Linked DNA regions of Struthio camelus. The protein of the gene in region 2 binds, or shares a complex with, the protein of the main gene of each other region. Links are inferred from orthologs where the notes say so. Each region holds a gene or a part of one and is shown on either strand. Other genes may lie near its edges.

Region 1 (7,599 bases), on a different chromosome or scaffold from region 2:
CCCTTAATTACATGAGGACTATTTGCTGCACCATAAAAATTCTGAATTACCTTACAAGATATTTATAACATGCTTTGTCCTCTCTAAAATTCTAGCAGTAACAAGAACACTCATCCCTTTTGAAAAGATCAGAGGTTGAATTCAGACATACTAGTAGTATTAAGAATTTATACACCCTTCAACCTTACATAAAGATTCAGCATTCTCAGAAATAAGTGATCATTTCTTTTTACGCTCTCGTTTCCCTGATCAATATCTGCAATGATGAACTTACCCTACTGGTGCATAAACTGTATCTAGTTCTCATGGGACCACAGACTCCCAAACACTACTGAAACATTCAATCTCATGTTGTGGCATAGCGTAGGCATACCTGTGTTGGGACACAGGTAAAGCAAGTTTTGTAGGTAGAAGAAACATTAGCTCCTCCAGTTGGAAAAGGCAGACAGGTTTATGGGCACATCTCCTCCTCCTCACTTCATAGTTGGAAATCGAGGTATCAAGAAATGAAGTGAACTGCCTAAAGTCACCTAGTGGGCTAATGGTAGAATAGGAGCAGAATACACTTCCTTAGTCCCAGTCCAATGCTCCTTTCACCAGATTATAGTATCTATCACCCCTTCTTCACCATTCACTTTACGAGGACAACATCAAAACAAGACTTCAGGATAAGATCACTTTTAGCCCCTTACTCCATTTCACAGTTTGCTGAAAAATTATTTTACCTTTATTCCAGGAGTCAGAGGGAGAAAAGTCAAATTTTGGAGTGGGTGGAAGCTATAAAAAGAAATAGAGACAAAATATCAGCATTTGGGAGTTTCAGTTATAACACAATCCACATCACCTTGGAGAAGCCTCTTGAACTCAGATCTCAAAGACATTTAGGTGCCCAGTCGTCCTAAGTCTCAAAAGGGATCAGACATGTGGCTTAAAGTCTCGAAGTAACCTTTCCCACAGCATAAAGCAGGGGCAGAAGGCAGTATTCATCCTTTGGGTGCTCTTGAAAACACATCCACTCAATTACTTAAGTAGCTGTCTCCTTACAGTTACATTATAATCTCCAACATGGAAAATGATTTTCAAACCTTCAAAGGCTTCTCCTAGTCTGAGAGATTTAAAAAACTAAGGACTGCTCAAAGACAATGGACTACTCAGGTAATTTGCATCCAACTTGACTGTTAGGAGCTTGACAAAAACAGTTCTTTAAGGAAGAGAATCTTTTCATTAATTTTTGAAAAGCACATAGGATACTCCAATAAAAAGCTTAGGAATACCACTACATAGTGAAATATCCCTGCATAGGCTTTCTATCTCTTCTTTCAAATAAGATCTATGACCAATTGCTCTCCTCTAGGTTTAAAATTGTATCCTTCTTCCATTTCAATCCTCCTCAAAACATTCTCAGCGTGAAATCCAGATTCAACGGCAAAACTTTCGTCAACGTCATTGGAACCAGAATACCTTCCCAGTGCTTTCATTCAGAGAATGTGTATGGTTTGCTAACTACATTCACCTGCACAGTCCTTACCTCCCAGCCTATGTAATTTGTCCATTCTTGGATAGCTGGAGGAAGTGCTTCTTGAGCTTTTTTGAGGGCTTCAGCACCTTGTGTGCCACTGCCCAGCAGCCCCTGATCATATGCCACGTATACAGCTGCTCCAGCCAGGCTTCCTTTGATGACAAACCTGAAAGAATTAAAAGCACGTGAACAGGTCAGTTCACATTATATATATCAGTGCACCTTTCCCAGCAGGTTGTGACACGCAAAGGAACAGGGTTGAAAGAGCAGTTAGAAGGTCACAAATGTTTTACTGTGATGTCTTATTAGTGTCAAAAAACAGCAGAAAGATAGCTAGCTGTCCTCCCCTTTTTCCTAGATCAAATATTCCCAGTCAGCCCCTTGAAACTGTACCCCAGTTCACATATCATCAGTGACACTTGTGAAGAAAAAAAGGTGAAATTGTCAAAACTCTCTAAATATGTGCCACTTTGGAAAGTCTGAGAATTATGACATAAACTCTTGAAAAAAGGGACTAACAGATTTAGCTGTGGGTAAGAAATCCATGTTTATGATGGTTCTTGTTGCCTGGCTAATAACTACACAGATTACCTTGACAGACACCAATCTTTTGTTAAGCTCATTACAGTCCAGTTAGCATCTGACCATGCCTGTTCCTGCATTGCTTGTGCCTGTAAAGCTTCCCAGTGCAGCACATGGTGTGAAAACACTAGTGGCAACTCGCAAAGTGGAAGAAAATATTTGATCCTTAATTATTTTTTCACTATAAATAAGAGACCTGAGAGACAACATCTTTCCAAAAATTCACAGGGCAGAGAGCATTTCCCCCTCTGAAAAAACAGCAATTGCACACCTGGCAAAAAGAGAACTTGCCAGAGAGCAGTACCACGACAGCAGAGCACTTAATAGCTACAGCCACTAAGAGAGGAAGGAGCGAATCGATAGTTAAACCCGGCTATTCACAAGCATTTGGGGGATTTCTTTGATTAAGATGTATTGCTCGCTCCCAACACACCCTTCCACAACTTCTCCCTTCCAGCGGGCGGCACATCCAGGCCCGAAAGGGCTCCCTCGGCAACCAAGTACCCCCGGGGCCTTCCCAGGGTTTACTTTATGCGTCTACGCCCGCAGCGGGAAGGTCTCCAGGCTCCCGCCAGGCGTCTGGGGAGGCGCCAGGCAGCGGCCGGGCCGAGGGCGAGGCCGGCGCGGGCAGGATCAAGGGCAACGAGCTGCGCGGCGCGGGCAGGGCCGCGGCGGGCCCGCGGCAGTCGGGCGGCCGGGCCGGGCCGGGCCGGCGCGGACCGGACCGAGAAGCGGTAAAGGGCGGGCGGGGGCGGGCGGCAGCCGCGCGCGGGACTCACTTGACGACGGGAAGCAGCCTGGCGGCCATCGCTCCGCCAAGGGCAGCGCACGCTGGCCGCTGCGCGCCGCGGAGGCCGTCGGGAGCTGGTCACGTGGCCAGGCGGCCCCGGCCGCCCCGGCCATCATTACCGAGGCGAGAAGCGTTCGCCCTCCGCCTCTCTCTGCAGTGGGGGGCGCACCTCCCGCGCAGAAGAAGAACGGTTGAAAAGGAGAAGGACTCGTAGGAGGACTCGGTTGGGCTTCCTTTCGCCCGTCCTGTCTCCTCAGACCAGCAGGGAAGGCACTTCCGCCTCGGTAGCTGTCATGGCGGCAGGGGCGGCGCCGCGGAGTGAAGGCGGGTCCCGGCGCTCGGGGGAGGCTGCGGTAATTAAATCAAAACAGGGGGTGCGCAGGACCGATTGCATTGCTTGCTTTCATCTTTAATCATTTACCTGAAACAGCTGCAGAATTTCCACGGCGCGTCTGGGGGGTGCAGAATCGAGTAAGGATGAAGCGTTGTGAAAAGCGCGGATACGGTTGTGTGTGGAGCGCTGCAGTTCTGAATGGGTGAATTGCGGGTTGATTCCCTCTTGCGCAAACAGCTGGGAACTAGGCAATGCTGGTGGGGAAGATCAGCCTGGACTAGAAGTGTACTAACTGCTTATTGATACACATATTTAAGCAGATGAAACGCTTGAATCTGTGCTGCATTTTTATCAGTCTGCACCAAGGCCTTCGTCCCAAAATGTGTCATTTTGTCAGGCCGCACAGGGTGAGGGGACTTTGTCCTGCGGCCTTGGCTCTGGCCTAGGTCTTAGTCCCCATCCAGCAGTCGCGTTTTAAAGTAGGCACCAGCTGCTTTACTTACTTTACTGGATGCGCGTGTGCCTGAAGGAGCACATGCTGGTCAGCAGCGGGATCGGAGCCTCGGCTCTGTGCTCGCCAGGGTGGTGTGTGTACAAACTGCCTTTTCCTGTCCTCGCGGCGCTTTCCTGGGGTGCGGAGTTCCGTGTCATCGACCACAGGAGCAAGCTGTTAGTAAACATGTCATTAGGGTTGGGAGGATATCGGTTAGGCAGCCATGTCTCAAAATGAGGCTCTCGCTACAAAGCCCAAAGGCTCCGACTCTCCTGCTTCCCTGCGTGAATTTTAACCATTGCATTGCTCAACGTTTAAGGGGAGAGGGAACAAAGAGGAATACTGAGCACTAACTTTCTTTTTCCCTCACCAAGATAGTTTATCTGATTGCATTTTTCCTATCTTCTTTCCCTGTGTCTGCCAGAGTCTTTCGCACAAGAACAGAGGAGAGAGTAAGCTAGTTTTAAACACGTTTGCAGAGCTGTGGAAGTCGATGAAGTGAGTTTAGCAGAAGGGCAGCTTCTGGAACTGCTGAAAACTTAATTCCTCCTGTGTTCACTGTGTCTAACTGCTCTGGCTGCAAAAGAATTTTTAAAGACAGAAAAAGAACTCAGAAAATATAGAGAAATGATATTGGCTAATGATACTCACCTTGGTAAGTGAATGTTGTTAGTATTTAGTAAGTTCCAATGCTGACTTAAGTTTTGAATTTTCCTTTTGCAGGACAAATTCTAAAGAGAGAGAATTACAGAACTAAATCCTCCACCTTTTTCCCTGCTTCATGTTTCATTTTACATGCGGCTTGCATGCTGGGATCCGTAAGCATGGAAAAGAACATGTAAATGTTAGTGTGATTTTATTTCCATATTAAATTTTTGTGGACAGCTGCAGATGATCTATGGTGTTGGGGAAAAAGATGATTGTTTAGTTCATTTCAGATTTGATGTATTTTTATGTCAAATATGTCTGCAAGAATATGAAATAGAATGCAGCAGTGCAAATTGCAGAAGGCATTTACTGTAAAATTAGACTTTCAAATCGGGGTTTAAATGAGGAATCTGTGCTGACTCAACAAGTTTTTGTGGAGTGTTCCATTAGGGACAGACATTTTAAAAACAATTACCTCTGTCCAGTTCATTTGGGACAGACAGAAGGACAGACTAGATGCCCTGAAGCAAATGAATGGCTGTGAAAACAGTAGCTGAGAAAGGCAGGGAGATGGATGAGATGATTTCCGGAGGATCCTTCCAGACCTGTTTTCTGCCATCTCTGGCTCCCAGCAGACTTCATTGCCTCCAGCCCTGCAGCTTTACTGTTTTCATCCTGTTAAGGTTACTTGCTCTGGACAGGGAGTTCCACTGCCTTTGGTTCCACCTTTGTTAGATGAATGCAAACCATTTTCAGGACTGTGGTGCCCCCTTTCTTCAACAGGGAAAAGCAATTGCTTTGCAGCCTCTCGTCAAAGGATTGAGAGTCCATGTCCTTCCCCCTCTTCCATTCTTGCCGAAGATGACTTTGGCTCTTAGCGGAGAGACTTCTCAGGTAGAATCTCGTGACTCTTCCTGGTTCTACCCAGCACCTCACATATATGCAGGACAGAAAGACTTTATATACCTCACACAGGTTGGCTCGTAGCATCAGAGGAAGGAGATTACAGCGTTTTGGCTGGGGCGCTCAGCTTCAAGACCCCACATATTCAGTCTCCTTATCAGGATGAGCTTGTCTCTGACTCGCTTGAGAGTACCATCAGCAGGTAGATGGGTGCAGCTCTATGGAAACAGGTTCAAATAGTGGGCTAAACAGTATCCCAACCTGCTGCTTTCACAAACCCATCAGCATGGTTCTGGGAGAAGGGGAACCAGGGTCTTCACAGGCTTTGCTCCAAGCCTGCCTTCTAAGGCTGGTCCCCTGGGTGAGGATGTTTTGGGGATATAAGTGGAACACCCAGCACAATAGCATGAAGGCTGCTGTGGCTTACGGAGCAGTTATGAAGTGTTCTGTAGGAAGGATAAACTTGATTTAAACCTCATATTTTCCTCCAGATGCTGTCTCTGAACAGGAAGGTGTGTGAATATGTGAGAATTAACATGTATGTGCATGTGTGGGCATGCAACAATAAAAGGACCTTGCCTTGTTTTGGTCTCTGCAGCAAAGACTGGTGAATAATATTTTTGTTGATTTTATATCATAGTTGTTTTCAATAGCTAAAATTTGCTTGGAGAGCCCCTTTAGTTAAAGTGTTTTGTAACTCTTCACCAAAATGGGACAGAATTGTTCTTTCCTTGGCTGGAGAAACTGTTGGGATTTTATGTGTCTAGGGACTTTTTGAGCAGAGGACTGAAGAAAGTATGAGAGAGTCTCCTCACGGAGGAAACTGCTGTGGTTGCTACTAGCACCTGAACCTGAGCAGGGATAGGGGCCAGTTCTACTGGGAGCTGAATACAGGCTCAGCTAACACAAAGCAGCTACGTAGGAGCTTGCAGGGGAATCAAACTGGAAGGGGAAAAGCATGGAGAACACAGACAGAATGAGATATGTGTTGCAATCCAAGGGAGTTCATCAGAGTGGAAGAGATGCTTTCATTTTTGAGTTCTTTGCTCATGGCCAGCATGCAGCACAGGTCAGCAAACACACAAGCCTGTGCACAGATGCAGCATACGCTCCACTAGAGCCAGGCACGTACAGTAATACCCACCAGACACGATTGTGTTCTCACATGCCAGTTGCAAATGTGCAATGCAGAGGCGCATGCTGATTCCATCAGTCTTTATTGCAGCACAACAACCACTCTTCCTGCATGTCCAAAGGCATTCACCACATGTAAGACTGGTGGCTATACTACCTGTATATATCATCCCACATGCACAGATATTCAATGCATACAACACAATCCCACCCCCAAAATAGATATCTTCACCACACATACATACACAAGCAGAGCTCAACATTATGGGACAACTGCATGGGAATTTGGGTACAATCTCCCATGGTTCCCCTCAGTGACAACCATGGCCTCTTAACTGCCTTCACGATTGTCATGGAAACAGGAGATGATGGCAATGGCTCTGTTGAGATGGCCATTGCTGGAGGCTCTGGTAACAGAGGTCCACGGTCTAGGGGTAAATGTTGCTAGGAACAGCATGGTTGGGGGAGTTCAAAAGGAGCTTTCCACAGAAATGTACAGATGTGGAGCCATTGCTTAGGTGCACTAGCCATCAGCCCAAGACCTAGAGTCATAGCCAGGAGTGGGGGGGCTAAAATGAGTATTCACCTGTACAGACAAGGATGCAGGGGCTTAGTGTCTATTAAATTTGTCTGCTGTAAATGACAGCACAAGACCTTTTGGCCTTTAATTCAGGCTGTGGCATACATGTCAACAGGGACTTGAAAGAAAAGACTTAAAGAAAAGGGACTTGAAAGAAAAGGGATAAATCAGTCACAAAAGGTTTCTGTGCAGAACCTGTTTTCCCTTGCTATCCCCTGCTTAGTGAAGCTAAGGGTGGAGACCGCATTTCCAGCAGGGACTGTAATGTTTTTGCTCCTTAGTGCAAGGAACCTTCCCTTTCCAAAGCCATACAAAGGAAGCATAAAGGGCCCCATTAATCTTGCACACATTCCACCCATGAGGAATTTCTTTCCCTGTAATATTTTGCAGCCCCCCCCCCCCTTCTTCCTACCTCTGGCCCCTCATAAATAGCCCATTTTCTCTGGGATGGTGCTGGGGTGGGGAGGAGGGAAAAGAGAAGTTGCTGAGCCTGTGTGAAAGGTGAACCAGCTGTAGCAGCTGAGCTGGGGCTGGGTGCAGAGGTACAAGCTGAGCCTTGGCAGCTGTGCAATGAAAGGGGAAATTGTACTGCTGCTGTGGGACCCTTGCAAAGTTC
Region 2 (6,993 bases):
ACAACCCTCCTATTCGCATAAGGCCGCAACCAGTTTTGCGACCTGAACTTTATTTCCCGCTCCCTTACTTGGGTCCCAATCCAGGAAAAGGAAGGTAAAGCTAACTCAAACTTTCCTAGAAGTTCAGTCCAAGGGGCTTTTCACAGCACTGTAAGATTGACCCCTTCTTTTGCACCACGGTCAGTGTCTCTGTGCTGCCAAAAAACTGTAAAACAAAATGAAATGAGATCGAGTTTCCTTACCTACGCCAGCCACAGTCTGACAGCACTGAGCACAAAGTGGATGTCGATGCTGCCATATCTAACAGCATTGCTAACGTCTTCACTTACCATGCCAACTTCTTGGGTCTTCTGCCCTCCCCCCTTACACTTTCGCTATATTCAAAACACACATATACATGCGTAGTACCTCTGTCAGAGGATCTGAACAAAGATAGCCCCAGACATACAATACCCACTACAAGAGAAACCATGCGGCAGTAAGGATGTCTTATCAATGACAAGGACAAAATTCACAGCTTTAGAGAAGCGCCCTTACTTCCTCTGGGGCTGACAGGCAGGTGGGGATGAACTCCAAGTGCCAACTGTCATATTTGAAGCCTGGGGGCAGTGCTTATTTATTTTAAGAGTTTAAGAGTTTAATCTAACTTTTTAAGGAAAAATCATTCTTATCAAATAATACATAACACTGCTGCTCAACTTAAACCTCAAAGGTAGTGGATATCTCAAAAATAATTCAGTTCTTTACAAACTTTATGAAAATCAGCAGCGAGCTGAAGAAAGAGTTCCATATTAACACCCCATACAAGCAACCACAGACAGGACTTAGCCTGTGGCCGTTCTGCAGTTAGCCAACACGCACATACAGGCTAACACACAGCGCTACGCGTCAGTCTGAGAACATGCTCCCTCTCACCCGGAGAGAGATGTCCAAAAGGAATATGGGAAAAAAGCATCTATGGAAACTGGCTTTTAAAACCAAAAAGCTGTAAGAAGCCAGTCTTTGTTAACTGCAGATTCAGTGGAACTACTTTTTATATACAGCCACAAAAAGCAAATAATCTCTTTGGTACTCTAAAAACAAAGAATGACTATTCTATTTCACAAAACAAAACCAAAAAAAAGAATAAAACATTTCTACTTCAGGAAGTCAGAGATCTAAGATGACGACAGCTCATTTAATCTAATCAGGTATCATGTGATACATAGTGCTCTCTTCATTTTGAGCTCCTAGAGGTCATATACAACCTATAGCAGCAAACCCACATTTTTCTCTAGTTCCATCACTATGCAACTGACAGAGAAGCTAACTAAATTAAAACAATTTGTTTTACTGCTTATATGACAGGTGGAGTTAAGCCCTGAAAGGGCCTCACCTGTACACTGCAAAGAGAAATGAGGCAAGAACGACTTTACCTGAAAGCACCTGTAAAGGGAGACTTAGCACAATTCTAGTTAACGTCTGTCAAGTGACTGATTGTGGGGGAAAAATAAGTAACCACAGCAAAACTCACTCTGCAAACTCATTTCAGAGGAATTTTAGGAAGGGGAATAAGAAGTAGATAGAAGTATAAAGAAGCAACAACACTGAGAATCATGGTAGAAATAAAGTAGAAATAGCTAAAGAGAAACAGGGAGAAAAAAAAACAGAGGGGAAAAAAAGGCACCAAAAAGAATAATACCATCACCTCTTTCTAGAGCTGGTTTTCATGACACACATAGGTAGATGTTCAAATCAAAGTTCAAGAAGCAGCTTCCCCACTGGCCCTTCTAGAAGCACCCCTACTCCTCACCAATCCCCACAACCTCTTATCACCCTGCGTGCTTCATTAAGGGTCTAGGTAATATTATTCAAGGGCAGGCAGCTCTCCTCTTGGATGCTTTCAGAGCCAGCCAGTGCTTCCACCTTTTAGCATCAAATTGCTTGCAAAGCAGAAGGTGGCAGTGAAGGGCACATTAAGCAGTAAGGAGAAGGGGAAAGAGACGAGAGCAAAATTTGGAAGAGGATAAAGGATTAGCATCTCATCTCTCAGGAAAGGCCAAACTCCAGCAGTCAGCCCTCTTCACTGCCACTACCCACTCCCTTCAGCGCTGCCTTCCACTTCTCCTCCCTCTTCCTTGCTGGTTTTCCCCACTCACTCCTTCCTGCAGCACATACTGCATCCCTAGACCTCCCCGCCCTGCTCTGCCTCAGTTCAACCAGTGCTGCCCCCAACAGCACCTCCCTCAGGCCAGCTCCCTGCCCCATGCAGCCCCCAACCAAGCCTCCCCCCAGGCCTCTGGCACCTCTCTCCCCTGCACCTGCTTCCCCCCAGTCTGTCTCCCTCCGGCCTCTGATACCCTCTGCCTCCCAGCCCTCCAACACCCCTCTCCCCTCCCAGCCCCTCTCCTCCAGCCTCTTGGCTCCCCTCTCCCCCCCCCCGCCCCTTTCCCCTAGGCCTCTGACTCCTCTCTCCCCTCCCAGCCTCCCTCCCCCAGGCCCCTCTGCCCCCCGGCCCCTCTCCCCTTCGACCTCCTCCTCCTCCACCCCCTCTCCCCTCCCAGCCCCTCTCCCCGAGGCCCCTCTACCCCCCAAACCCTCTCTCCCCTCCCAGCCCCTTTCCCCTAGGCCTCTGACATCCCTCTCCCCTCCTAGCCCCTCTCCCCGAGGCCCCTCTGTCCCCCAGACCCCCTGTCCCCTCCCAACCCCTCTCCCCCAGTCCCTCTGCCCCCCAGCGCCCCTCTCCCCTCCCAACCCCTCTGCCCCCCCAGGCTCCACAGTACTCCCAGGCCGTCTCACCCTGATGCCTTGCAGCACCCGGACTTGCTCCCGCTCATCCAGCCCGAAGGAGACCTTCCTGCTGCCGTGGCTGCTCTCGCTGCCCCCCATGCCAACGGGGAGGAGATGGGGGGGGGGGGAGTCTCCCCCCCTCTCACACCGGGACAGCCGCTGCGAGCAACACCGCTCCCCGCCCCCCTTTCCGCCGCCTGCCAACATACCCGCCCCTCATTGGTGGCTGCCTCCGGGGGCGGCCAATAGCGCGGCGCGTTGCTGGCGGCCAGCGCGGTGCAGGCTGGGGGTTGTAGTCTCGTGCGGCGGCCGCCGCCCGGGTTGGGGGCCCCGGGGGGCTCTGCCGGCGCCGTCCTTCCGCGGCGAGCCCAGGAGATGCAGCAGACAGCCGCGTTCCCAAACCTGGCCCTCCGTCGCTTGTGCCAGGCAAACCTCCCTCCCCTAAAAACTCAAACTGCTTCAGGAGGAGTTAAAAATAACAATCCTAGCACATCAGTTTGGAAAAAGCTACCCTCAGCAGTAAACAATCTGCACCAAAGCACGTTCAGGTTCAATTTCTGCCCCTCGGCTCTCCTGCAGCTTCCCCTCGGGAGTGGAGGTGCCGATCTTGCCCACTTTTTTATCATACTACCCCTTACACTTTCACTTTGATACGCCAATATAACGGGTTTCTTTACTGGGCAAAAATTAGCAGAGGAAAACAGCAAAGAAGCCCAAATTAGCACACAGTAAATGAATAAAAGTGGAAAGCATAGAGCTTATACTTTAAGATATTCCTTTAGATTCAGGAAATTGGACGAGACAGACGAGCACCCACTGCACGCGACCAAGATGCTGCCGGCTGTGGAAGATCCCCAGGGCGACAAGCCCTTACGGGGGTCCAGGCAATTTCCCCCCTCACCGTCTAGGCCCCGTGCCCCATGAGAGCCCACCTCCGGCGCCGAGCACAGGCATCCCCCTCCACCCCACCGGCGCACCCCGTGTCCCTCTCTATCCACCTTTTCTCCATAATTGTTGAGGGAATGCGTCATCACCCCAGCGCAGCTCACGTTTCTCTGATGATGAAAAACAAACATAGGCTACAGTCAATAAGAATTACAGTCAATTTTATGGCAGCTGCTTTGCAGGCAAAATTAATCATCTCCTTTAAGCCAGCAAAGACTTAACAGTTGTAACGTTCCTTGCTATGACAGGCACGTTCCCAGGTGCCATGTAGATGAGAGCATCGCACTGTGCTCCAGGTCATATAAACCCTCAGCAGGATACAGACCCTGCCTCCAAGCGCTTAGAAGCTGCAGGCTAAATGAAGGGAAAGAGAAAGAAGATAATGTAAAACACAAGCAGCCGGAGCAAGAGATAGTAGCTTTTGGAGGAGCTTTTCCTAGCAGTACAGGCTACATCATGCCCTATACAACTCTGTGCATTTGTAGCTAGACACTTACTGAAGCCTTGCTATCGACACACTGCTTTCCTACTTACTAGTTGTGTGTTAGAACAGCTTTCACTGTGCTTAATGCTTACCCTTCACTATAATTAACATGGAAACCACCGGTTTGGCTCAGCAATGGGACTCCGGCCAGGTCTAAGGAAGGATCCCCACTCCCTCCCCAAGAAATCCAGGCCTGCAGCATATTACTGAAAGGGAAGAATATTTTTCTGTTACTTGGGTTAACACCTAGCACATTGCAGACTTTGCTTATTGCTTGACCTCTCAAGACTAGAGCACTACAAAACGGTACTATCAGCTATTTGCACTGCAGCATAGAAATGCTGCGCAGGGTCAGAGAGCAGGTCTGGCTAAGCCAAAACTCTGCTTTTGAAAGGGACAACAGCTGATATCTAGGAGAAAGCATGAGTGAGGCAAGAGCATAGCAATTCCTCCCAGAATATTCTCACAGCCTCTCATTTATTTTTAATCTGCCACCCACCAATTTCATTTGATGGCTCCCAGTTCTTGTACTGAAAGAGCCCCTGAACAGTCATTGCCTGTTCACCTCCTCTGTCCTCTCAGGATTTCAGAGACCTTTACTCTTGCTCTTCCAAGCTGATGAGTTCTCAATCGTGTAATTGCTTCTCCTACAACCCGCAACTTTAATTATTCTGTCACCCTTCCTTAGGCCTTTTCCAGGAGTAATTCCAGGTACAACTCCAGCCAGGTGCCAGGCAACATCTGCAAGGATGCAAACATAGCAGGAGGGGGAGCGTGCAAAGAAACAAAAACACAATTCAGACCTACAGCTGTGCCTTTCTGTGATCTCCCAGAGCCTGAGAATACTGAGGTGGAAGCAATTGCGATGGTGGCAGAGCACCTGTACAGTAACTCAAACCCTTCCCTTATCCATGTGAAGAGGAGCAGATGATGCTGTCAAGTTAACTCCTGTGGTTAGCGTCCCTCGGGCAACCCCTACAGTTTTTTGCAGGTAGTCTGGCAGGAGCTTGGTAAGGTAAGGCTAGTAGGCTTTACTGCACAAAGACCTGACTTAACTCTCAGGCTAGAGACAAAGCTTACTCCATTTCCCCAGCCTGTATGCTCCACCAAAGAGCGGCTGACAGGTGCTGGCTACTGCCAGCTCTTAGCTGTTACATCAGGCTACTGTCCCCTGTACAGCCAGAAAAATTGGTCCAAATACTTAAGTGGAGTTCATTTCAAAGCCCAAAGGAAAAATAAAGCGTACAACAGTCAACTCATAGTTCCACACGAGCCCCTTTCCAAGCAAGAAAGACTGGCCTATAGCGGAGATCCCTGATGCCGGACATGCCAGGGAACAGCAAGATCTAGTTAACAGGAAGAGTCAGAGCTTCACTAATTATTTAGACCTGGAGACCACTCTCTGCACTGTCAGCTGCTGTCCTAGTAATAGACTTCCAAGAACCCAAAGTCTCCAGCTCTGTCATTCCATTAATATCCACCATATTTGTTCAGGGTTTTATCTTTTGCTTTTTAAAAGAAAAAATTCCAAAAATATTTTCCCCCTTAACATGCGTCACTTGAGAGAGAAAGTAGGACTATTTATGCCAAATTTAATTTTATTTCTTTATTTTACAAACAAAAAATATACATTTACTCTATATTTAGTCTCTTTGCATCTCCCTCCCCCCACAAACACATAACACACTTCTGCTCAAGGACCATTGTGAATATGGCCCAAGGCATTTATATACATAAAAATACAACAAGAGGAAGGTCAGTCCATGACCTAGTGCAGAAACTCCTCAGCAGCAGAATGTGGGACGCTCCAGAAACACTGGAGTCCTGCCAACAAAGGAGAGGATGGACATGTTGACCACCTACCAAGGCGATCCTTCAGCACTGAATTTAGCCGATAAAAAGACAAATTCATAACCTGCTCTTCACATCACCAAGGAGGGCAGGCAAGTCCTTTCAAATTCAAGGTGTTCAAGAGGCAGCAAATACTCCTTGGGATGGGAAAGCATTTGCTCCTTTATTCTTGAACTGCTTCAAGACTTCCACATCTCCTGGCCCTGTCCAAGGCCCACCAGCTCCAGGGAAGCTTTGCAGGTTTCCCCGTAGTGGCTAACAGCAGCTCACTACTGGTGTAGCTGAGCAGCATTAGGAGCAGCAGCAGGGCAATTCAGAGACCATGTCATCCATCCCTTTTACAGTAAGCAAGTAAGTGTGGCTCAGGCCGATTCACAGCAAATGATGGGAGGAGCATAGAACATTTTTCTGTGCGGCAAAAAGCTCACCTGGCCAGTTGCTTGTCCACCCTTTACACAGTCATTGCACGGAGGAGAAATGTGAAAGGCTGTTGAACCACATGGTATAACTCAGCTCAAACATATGGACAAACGGAAGCCTTTTTTCCTTAAAAGTAGATTTAAAAAAAAAAAAAATGTATTTAAAACTGAGGGGAGGTTTTTTGTTTTTAAGGTGTCAATGCTACTTGGAAGCCTGCAGGGCAAAGTCTACAGGCAGCAGAACAGAGAGGCTGCATTGCTCATTAACTAAGAAGATAAGCAAAGGGCCTGCATAGTTTTGGCAACCAATATGCACTTTGTGCTCTTATCCAAACTGTTTCTTTCCTTACAGTGGAAACACCTGGTAGCAAATGCTACTACCTAGTAGCAGTGTTTTGCATGATCCAAACTATCACTGCACTGTTCCCTCCATGAGGATTTCCTAAAAAACTCTTACCTCAATATTCTTCTTCAGGAACAGGAGAGTTGGGGAAGAGATGCACACAGTCCCCAAATGTTTCATAT
Region 3 (7,048 bases), on a different chromosome or scaffold from region 2:
TAGGGCTTCAGTGAGATCTGAATAACTCGAAGAATGGACACTCTACAACATCTCTGGGCAACCTGTTCCAGTATTTGACCACCTTCAGGGTAAATTTCCCCCCCCCCAATATCTTATCAGAATTTCCAATTGTACGCTTAAAAAGAAATTAGAAGCATCAGGTGACTTTACATGCAAGCAGGTGTAAAAAACGTACCTTTTCATACGGTATACAATTAAACTGGTTCTAATTACAAAAAATATTTTGAATATCAAATTCTGAAGCAATAAAGCAAATTCATAGATGACTATCAGGGCTGATTTTTGTCTAGTTTTAATTTTTAGATGGCATATTTTATTTTGACTTTGTTCACAAGTTTAATGCATGCCCTATAGTCAGATACTCCTTCTACATCAAAGTATATGAAGCCACCAAACTGCCTTTGAACCAATTTCTATTTTTTTTGAGTGATTCAAGTGATTCTTTAAACTTGTCTACATTACTTTCAGTTTTGCAGACTTTTTCCCCAGACCGCTTTTGCATACATTTTGTTTTATACGCAGCACATTCTAGAAGTTGTACTACAATAACGTAAAGATGACATTCCTTCCTTGTTTCTGTCTGATGATCTTCCTCCTGTGTATTACATGAGCCCCTTTAATCTAGTATGACAAGAAAACTAATATTTGCACCTAGAAGTCATCATAAGTAAGTCCTGCTCTGAGTCTCTGCTTTTCAAGGAAGACTCTCAAACTCTCGGTAGCTTACATTCTGTGTTTCCACACGTGCATCTTGCAATTTGGCAGCATTCAAACATATTCCGTCCAGACTGTGACAATTTTAATTAGACAATTAAACGTAACTCTCTGCTAGTTATTTACTGTTTTACAGTAAATTGTAAAATTTGTGCTACTGCATCAAGTATGGTTTCAAAAGGTAATTTAAACGAAATACAGTTCACTGTCACCGAAAGGAGTAGTAGTACCACTCTACTTTGCTCCCTCCCTACCTCAGAGCTTGCTCAGCTAGTGTCTCATCTGTCCCTGCAGTGAGCTGGCTTAAGCAGTTAAATTAGCAGAAATCCGTATCTTTTTAAAAAAAAAATCCATCGCGAGAGACAAAAACAGAGCTGACAACTCAGGGGCAAAGCAGGAACGTTTGTTTTGGCTGCAGTCAGATATCTGATGAGTTAACTTATTAACTGAAACTGTATCCTCGTTCAGACCATCAACAAGAGCTTTGTTTCTCCACAGAATTTAATTTAAAATAGTTAACACTTTGTAAAGGGCTGACATTGCTCAGCAATATTTTATGGAAGCATTCACCAGTAATAGACACATATAATTTCAGGTATATACTGCATTACTTATCACTATTACTTTCTGTAAATAAAGGTTTACTAATTGCAATGTACTTGAGACACTGGTACCTCAGCAAACTGCAACATTAATGCTTGAGGACTGTTAGCAGCTTCTAGGCCAAATCCAACATTTTAATTTGGATATGCACTTATTTACAGGCCTCTAACAACAAGTATAGAAAAAAAGACATATAGGTGGAACAGCTGCAGTTCCTCCGCGCCTCAGCATACTGATGCTCTCTACATTTATTTTTAATCTTTGCCTGCCAGAGAGTAACCTATGCTGACTGAAAAATCAACAAGAACAAAAAAATTTTTCACAGTAAATAATAAACAATACACAGAAAATTATGTCATTCGACCAACAATACTGAATCATTCAAATTTATGTACTAAGCTACATTACCTGAAGACCATCTAAACATGCTATCAAGCCAATTACAGCTTCTTTTTTCACTTATGTGCGTCTTGTAAGAGGGTTCGTCTTCATTCCCTTGGCTACCTTTGTCTGCATGATCTTTTCCTCTGCAGGTATATACACATCTTAATTGCTTTGCAAAAGAAGACTCGTGTGCAAGCAACCTATTCCTTAGAAACAGATGAAAACCTGTTTGATTATCTGAGAGAAAGTCATCTCTGCAGGTACATTTTGCCCTGTTTACATACAGTATATTATGTACATTTACAGCTATTTTAGACATTTGTGACCCGGTTAGCTTGTAATGGCATGATTTTAACATCCTTGTTTTAGTGATGTATACCACTACCCTGCTTTATGACCCTACTACTAAACAAGTATCTGGATACTATTCCACCTCTCGAATGAGGGCTTTAAAGCATTTCAGAAGGCGGAGGAAACCAGAAAAGCAACGCTTTTTACTCCCTCTTCTACAATTTAACCACGCACAGGAACCAGCTCTTTCTACCACAAGTTCTACGTGGAGAGAAGCGGTACTGACACCTCCTACTTTCCTACTCTTCTCTCATCTAAGTGCTCAGTAACAGGCAGAAGGGATTTCCCCAACCAAAATAGTTATTGCAGCCGTCTAATCCCACCCATGCTGGAGCAAAGAAGCTGTGGAGACACCCCCAAGGCAGCACTGGGAGAGGCTGTGCAGAGGGAGCAGCACGCTGGGCATTAACATCACTGCAGCGTGACACGCGGCACGGCGGCCCCAGCAGCCTTCCCCGCGCCGGCCCGGCGAGTTTACAGTACGGCTCGGCGGCCGAGGCAGCCCCGCCGGCGGAGGAGCCGAGCCCGGCAGCTCCTTCCTCTTTCCCAGAAAGAGGCCTCAGCGGTTCGGGGAGGCGAGGAGCGCCCGGGCCCGCCGTCACAGGGAGCAGGCCGGGCAGCACCTGCGGCGAGGGCTCCCGAGCGGTGGAGAAGCCGCGCGGCGCGGCCTCAGGCGTCCCCCGAGCCCTGCGGCTCTCCGGGCGGCAGGAGGGAGGCCGGGCCGAGGGGCCCGCCGCAGCACTTCCCTCCCTCGACCCCGCGCTCCCTCCCCGCAGGGCGCCACGCTCACCTTGGTCGCCATTTTAGCGACAGCGCCGCCCGCGCGCGGCCGGGTACGGCGAGCGGGAAGGGCCGAGCGCCCGCGCTCGCCGTGCCGGGGCCGCGGGCCGGCTGCGGCTGCTGCCGGGGGCCGGCGGCGGGGCCCGGTGGTGCCGGCCCCGGAACCCTCAGGGCAGGCGCCGGGGCCGAAGGGGGCCCCGAGGGGAGGTGGCGCCCGGAAGCGGCGGTTTAACGGCGGGCTGGCGGCCGTGACAGGAGCGCGGAGGCCTCGGGGCAGCAGGTCGGGGAACGTGGACTTCACCGCCCCAGAACCCGCTGAAGCTGGTCGGCTCTTTTTCCCTTAGAGAAGGTTTACAGATGCCGTTGCCTTTTCCAGCCAATTAACATTTTGCAGCTTTCTTGCGACTGTTAGGCCCAGGAGGGAGCACTGCCTCCAACACTTGTGTCCCCGTTCTCCTCTGAAAAACAAAGCAAAAGGCTTCTGTACGCACTAAACAGCAGCGTTAGTTACAATGCAGGTAACTGTCCTATTAATAAGCCCACGTCAGTCCAAAGAAGCATGACCTAAATTCTGCGTTAACCATAGTCACGTGAAGACATGGCGTGGGATTTCTCAGGAGCCACTTGGGAACCTTTACTGGACTTTATAAACACTACAAGATGCTTAAATTCCTTCAAGCAGCAAATTCTCCTTTTACCTCAACATTCAAGGTATTTTAACAGGAATAAAATTAACATCCAAAGACTAAGACTAAGCATATACAGTTATTGCTGAACAATCTATAACAGCAGCTCTGCTCTGATACCTTTCAAATCACTGCTCAGTTCATCTTTGTCTAATTGTGCATTTACTAAGTGCATGCCATTTAAAAGTACAGTTTGTAGGGTGCTAGGTAGTATGAGCTCCGAATGCTGCCTTTAGAGACACTCAGAGATTCTTGTAGCAGTCTTTGATGCAACAAGTTTTACATCTCTGTGATAACTGTATGTTTTCTTCTTACTTACAGAAGATGTTCTCCCCATAACATCAGTGCCAGAATTGGAGATTGTATTTTAGTCAGAAAAGTACAAATCCTAAATATCCATATTTTAAAACACGAAAGGGAAAGAAACACTCATGTAAACTATTTGATTTGACCAAGAAAATGGCTAGAAAAATTATCTGAAGGGTTATTCATGTTAACCAGCCAAAGTTTCAGTTGTTACAACAGAACAGAAGATAGAGTCAATACAATTCAGAGCACCAGTTGCATCAAATGGTTATAGCTTCATGGGCACCCAATTCAAATCCAAGACTGAAGCTTGAATTTGATTAATCTTCTTAATTATAGTTATTAGAGAACGCAAAGAAAAAAAAAAGACAAAAGCACAAAAGTTAAGTGCAGATAATTCAGTTTATTGAAGTCCAGATTTACAACTGAAGTTTACAACTTTTTCCCCAAAACAAAAGCTTTGTTTGAATCTAGGAAGAATAAATGTTTTTTTTAAATAATGTACAGACTATATCTCTTAAATAAGTTAATATCTTTGAAAAAAGAGCAATATGTTCCTTTTTTAATGTTGCAGTGCAACTTACAACTTACACGTCTGTGCAATGTACCATGAGGTATATGCCCAGTGAGCAACACACAGTGAAGTTTTCCATTCATAGATTTTCATTGTAGACGCACAAAAATTTAACAAGTTAATCTGTGATAGAAAAAATGCAGCCAGTTACTGTAATTCACACAGAACTCATCTGAAGAGGAAAAAAGAAACCTAACATTCATTGCCTATATAAACTATTGGATCATCTCTCAACATAGACAAGTATAAAATTAAAAATACTGTTGTGAAACTGAAGAAATACTGTATTATCCAGGGGTTGAAACCTAGTTTTACCTGTATTAGTCTACAGCAGTTAATTTTCTGTCTCTGTAGCATCAATGAGCTGAGGGACTTTACTACAGTATGGGTGTAGTACCTGCTCATGAAAGGGCTTAAAGCATCATGGTAATTATATAAAAATTTCAGAATATTCATGAACTATGATATAACTCAGACATTTTCCCCGGCATAGACAGATAGTTTACTATTACCTCTCAGTTCATCTCCCTGCTGATTAGATAAACAAAGCTGAAACATGGAAGATTTACTAACAATATTTGAAGACTTGAGGCTTCAAACTTCTTTTCAAGATGGCTCTTACTAAAATACTGATTTTTCTTAATGACAGAAAACATATATTTATTTTAGAAAGAATCAACCACAACATAACTTTGTGATAAATAACAGTTCTGCCTCTAACACATATATACATACTGCTTGTAAACAAAAAATGCCCACGAGTCATGGAGTCTCCATGATTTTTATACAAGGCGCTATAGAATTTTTTGTTATTGAAAACAGTCCTAGTGAAAGTTTGGTTTATCACCTCCTATTGCTACAGAAATAGTAAGAATGTTTCTATTTACAAAGAAAAAAGACCATGGAGACCCCATAGCATTATTTGCTAAAGACTTTAAGTTAGTGGGGTTTTCAAAATACACATTGTGAGCACGTTCAGATTGAATTAACAGTACAGGTTGAATACCAGCAGTATGACATTCTAGTGCTTTGGTATTTCAACCCCTGAATATACAAAGACATTACTACAGCCTACTTCACAGTTTAATGCAAGTAAAGTGCAAGCCATAGTACAAGGGTGTCAAACATTTTCATACATGTAAGCAGTATCTAAAAAAGGCTCTCTATACAAGTTTTATTAGCTACTTTAGTAAACTAGACAGAAGTCACCTATGGCCCAGCAATTAATGGTCTTTTACAAGGATATTTTCTTTGTAATACAGTATGTGTCAAATGTAAAAAGTTCATTAATACTAGTGCACTTCTCTTGTAACCTAACCTGCTTTTTAGATTCTTAGAGTTGAAATCCTTGTTTCTCAGTAAAACAGAAGTCTTAAGTGGTAACAGGGTCTCACTGTTATTTTGGCCAGTGAACAAGATTTGTTGATTAAGACATACTTGTTTTGTGGTTGCTAGTGAAAAAATGTAATAGAGCTAGTATGTATAATGTGGTAACCTTATTTAATCTGCAGCATTCGGACAGATGCATTTACAGTTAGTAAAAAGGTCTGTATTGATCCCCTCACCAATGCCTGAGAATGAGTAATATTCTAGAAACGTGAGGACAGAAGCTAGTGGGCATTTCTGGTCAAACGATATAGTTGTCCATGTATTTTATCATTTGTACAACATAGCTTTCTTTCAAAAACTGCTCAGACAGTAGTATTAATGCATACAGCAAAGTCCCTAATTGTCACATCTACTGCTTGTATGTATCTGAATAAAAGTAAACAAGTTATAAATGTCTCCTCAAGACTGGCCGGCATTAAGCACAAATACAATTTTTTTTTCCGGAAGATAATGACAGGCAGTATCTTTTTAAAAGTTTTTAATACTTTTATTAAGTTTTATTAGGTCACAGTCGTATATCAGCTATCTTAAAAAGTGATAAAAATATTAGTATTTATTTTAATCCTTCTTCTAAATATGGAAGTATGGTATCAACTGTAACATGCAGAAAGTAAGTCTCCATTAAAAAATGCTTCCTCATCTGTTAGTTATGTCAAGAATAGAGAATCGGTTGCCTGTACGTTAGTGAATGGAACTGATCAGAATTAAAGTACTATGTTTATATATTATGGGAGTTAAGGAAATAGTTTTTCAAATATCAACTGAGAAAATACGACTTGATCTTAAGTAACAATGTATTTTCCGTTCATCACCTGATAGTATGGCTCAGGTTTGATTTTTAGATGCCTATCAAGTAAGCACCTGTTGAGAGCCTCAGTCACACAGTATAAATTCATCTGGGATAAAAGCAGAGGGGGAACCTAGGTGCCTGAAAAAGCTACTCTGAACCTTAGGTTTAATGAGGAAAATATTCTAGAAGGAAAAGAACTTTATGTTACTTAATATTTAGCTAATATTGCTCCTTAAATCTTTCCTGTTATTACCCATTTTTTGTACTATGGGTAAATAAACATTATTTGGCAATATGGAACAGAGCTTATCTCTAAGGAGATTATAAGCTCAGTGGTCTAAGGCATGTGGTATGTGGAAAGTCTGCTACAAACCTGCACTTCAAAGACAAAGACGTCACTATGACCTGTGCCATTCTTGCCTATAAATGCCCAATTTCCCTATTTTGAAA

Evidence for each region. The genes of interacting proteins can lie anywhere in the genome.
Region 1: CHCHD6 (region 2) and MICOS13 share a complex: the UniProt entries of both Homo sapiens proteins name them as parts of the mitochondrial contact site and cristae organizing system (MICOS) complex. The link is inferred for Struthio camelus from reciprocal best matches to the Homo sapiens genes CHCHD6 and MICOS13.
Region 3: CHCHD6 (region 2) and APOOL share a complex: the UniProt entries of both Homo sapiens proteins name them as parts of the mitochondrial contact site and cristae organizing system (MICOS) complex. The link is inferred for Struthio camelus from reciprocal best matches to the Homo sapiens genes CHCHD6 and APOOL.

Annotation. Positions count from the first base shown.
Region 1 is NC_090967.1:7,958,773-7,966,371, reverse strand, and holds the start of MICOS13 (MICOS complex subunit MIC13), read right to left. Parts: upstream 3,009-7,599; 5' UTR 2,910-3,008; coding exon 2,881-2,909; intron 1,686-2,880; coding exon 1,529-1,685; intron 778-1,528; coding exon 726-777; intron 1-725. UniProt on the Homo sapiens protein: Component of the MICOS complex, a large protein complex of the mitochondrial inner membrane that plays crucial roles in the maintenance of crista junctions, inner membrane architecture, and formation of contact sites to the outer membrane.
Region 2 is NC_090955.1:7,730,264-7,737,256, reverse strand, and holds the start of CHCHD6 (MICOS complex subunit MIC25), read right to left. Parts: upstream 3,001-6,993; 5' UTR 2,977-3,000; coding exon 2,779-2,976; intron 1-2,778. UniProt on the Homo sapiens protein: Component of the MICOS complex, a large protein complex of the mitochondrial inner membrane that plays crucial roles in the maintenance of crista junctions, inner membrane architecture, and formation of contact sites to the outer membrane.
Region 3 is NC_090952.1:17,433,037-17,440,084, reverse strand, and holds the start of APOOL (MICOS complex subunit MIC27), read right to left. Parts: upstream 3,009-7,048; 5' UTR 2,876-3,008; coding exon 2,864-2,875; intron 2,822-2,863; exon of another isoform or gene 2,697-2,821; intron 1,929-2,696; exon of another isoform or gene 1,747-1,928; intron 1,126-1,746; exon of another isoform or gene 749-1,125; intron 1-748. UniProt on the Homo sapiens protein: Component of the MICOS complex, a large protein complex of the mitochondrial inner membrane that plays crucial roles in the maintenance of crista junctions, inner membrane architecture, and formation of contact sites to the outer membrane.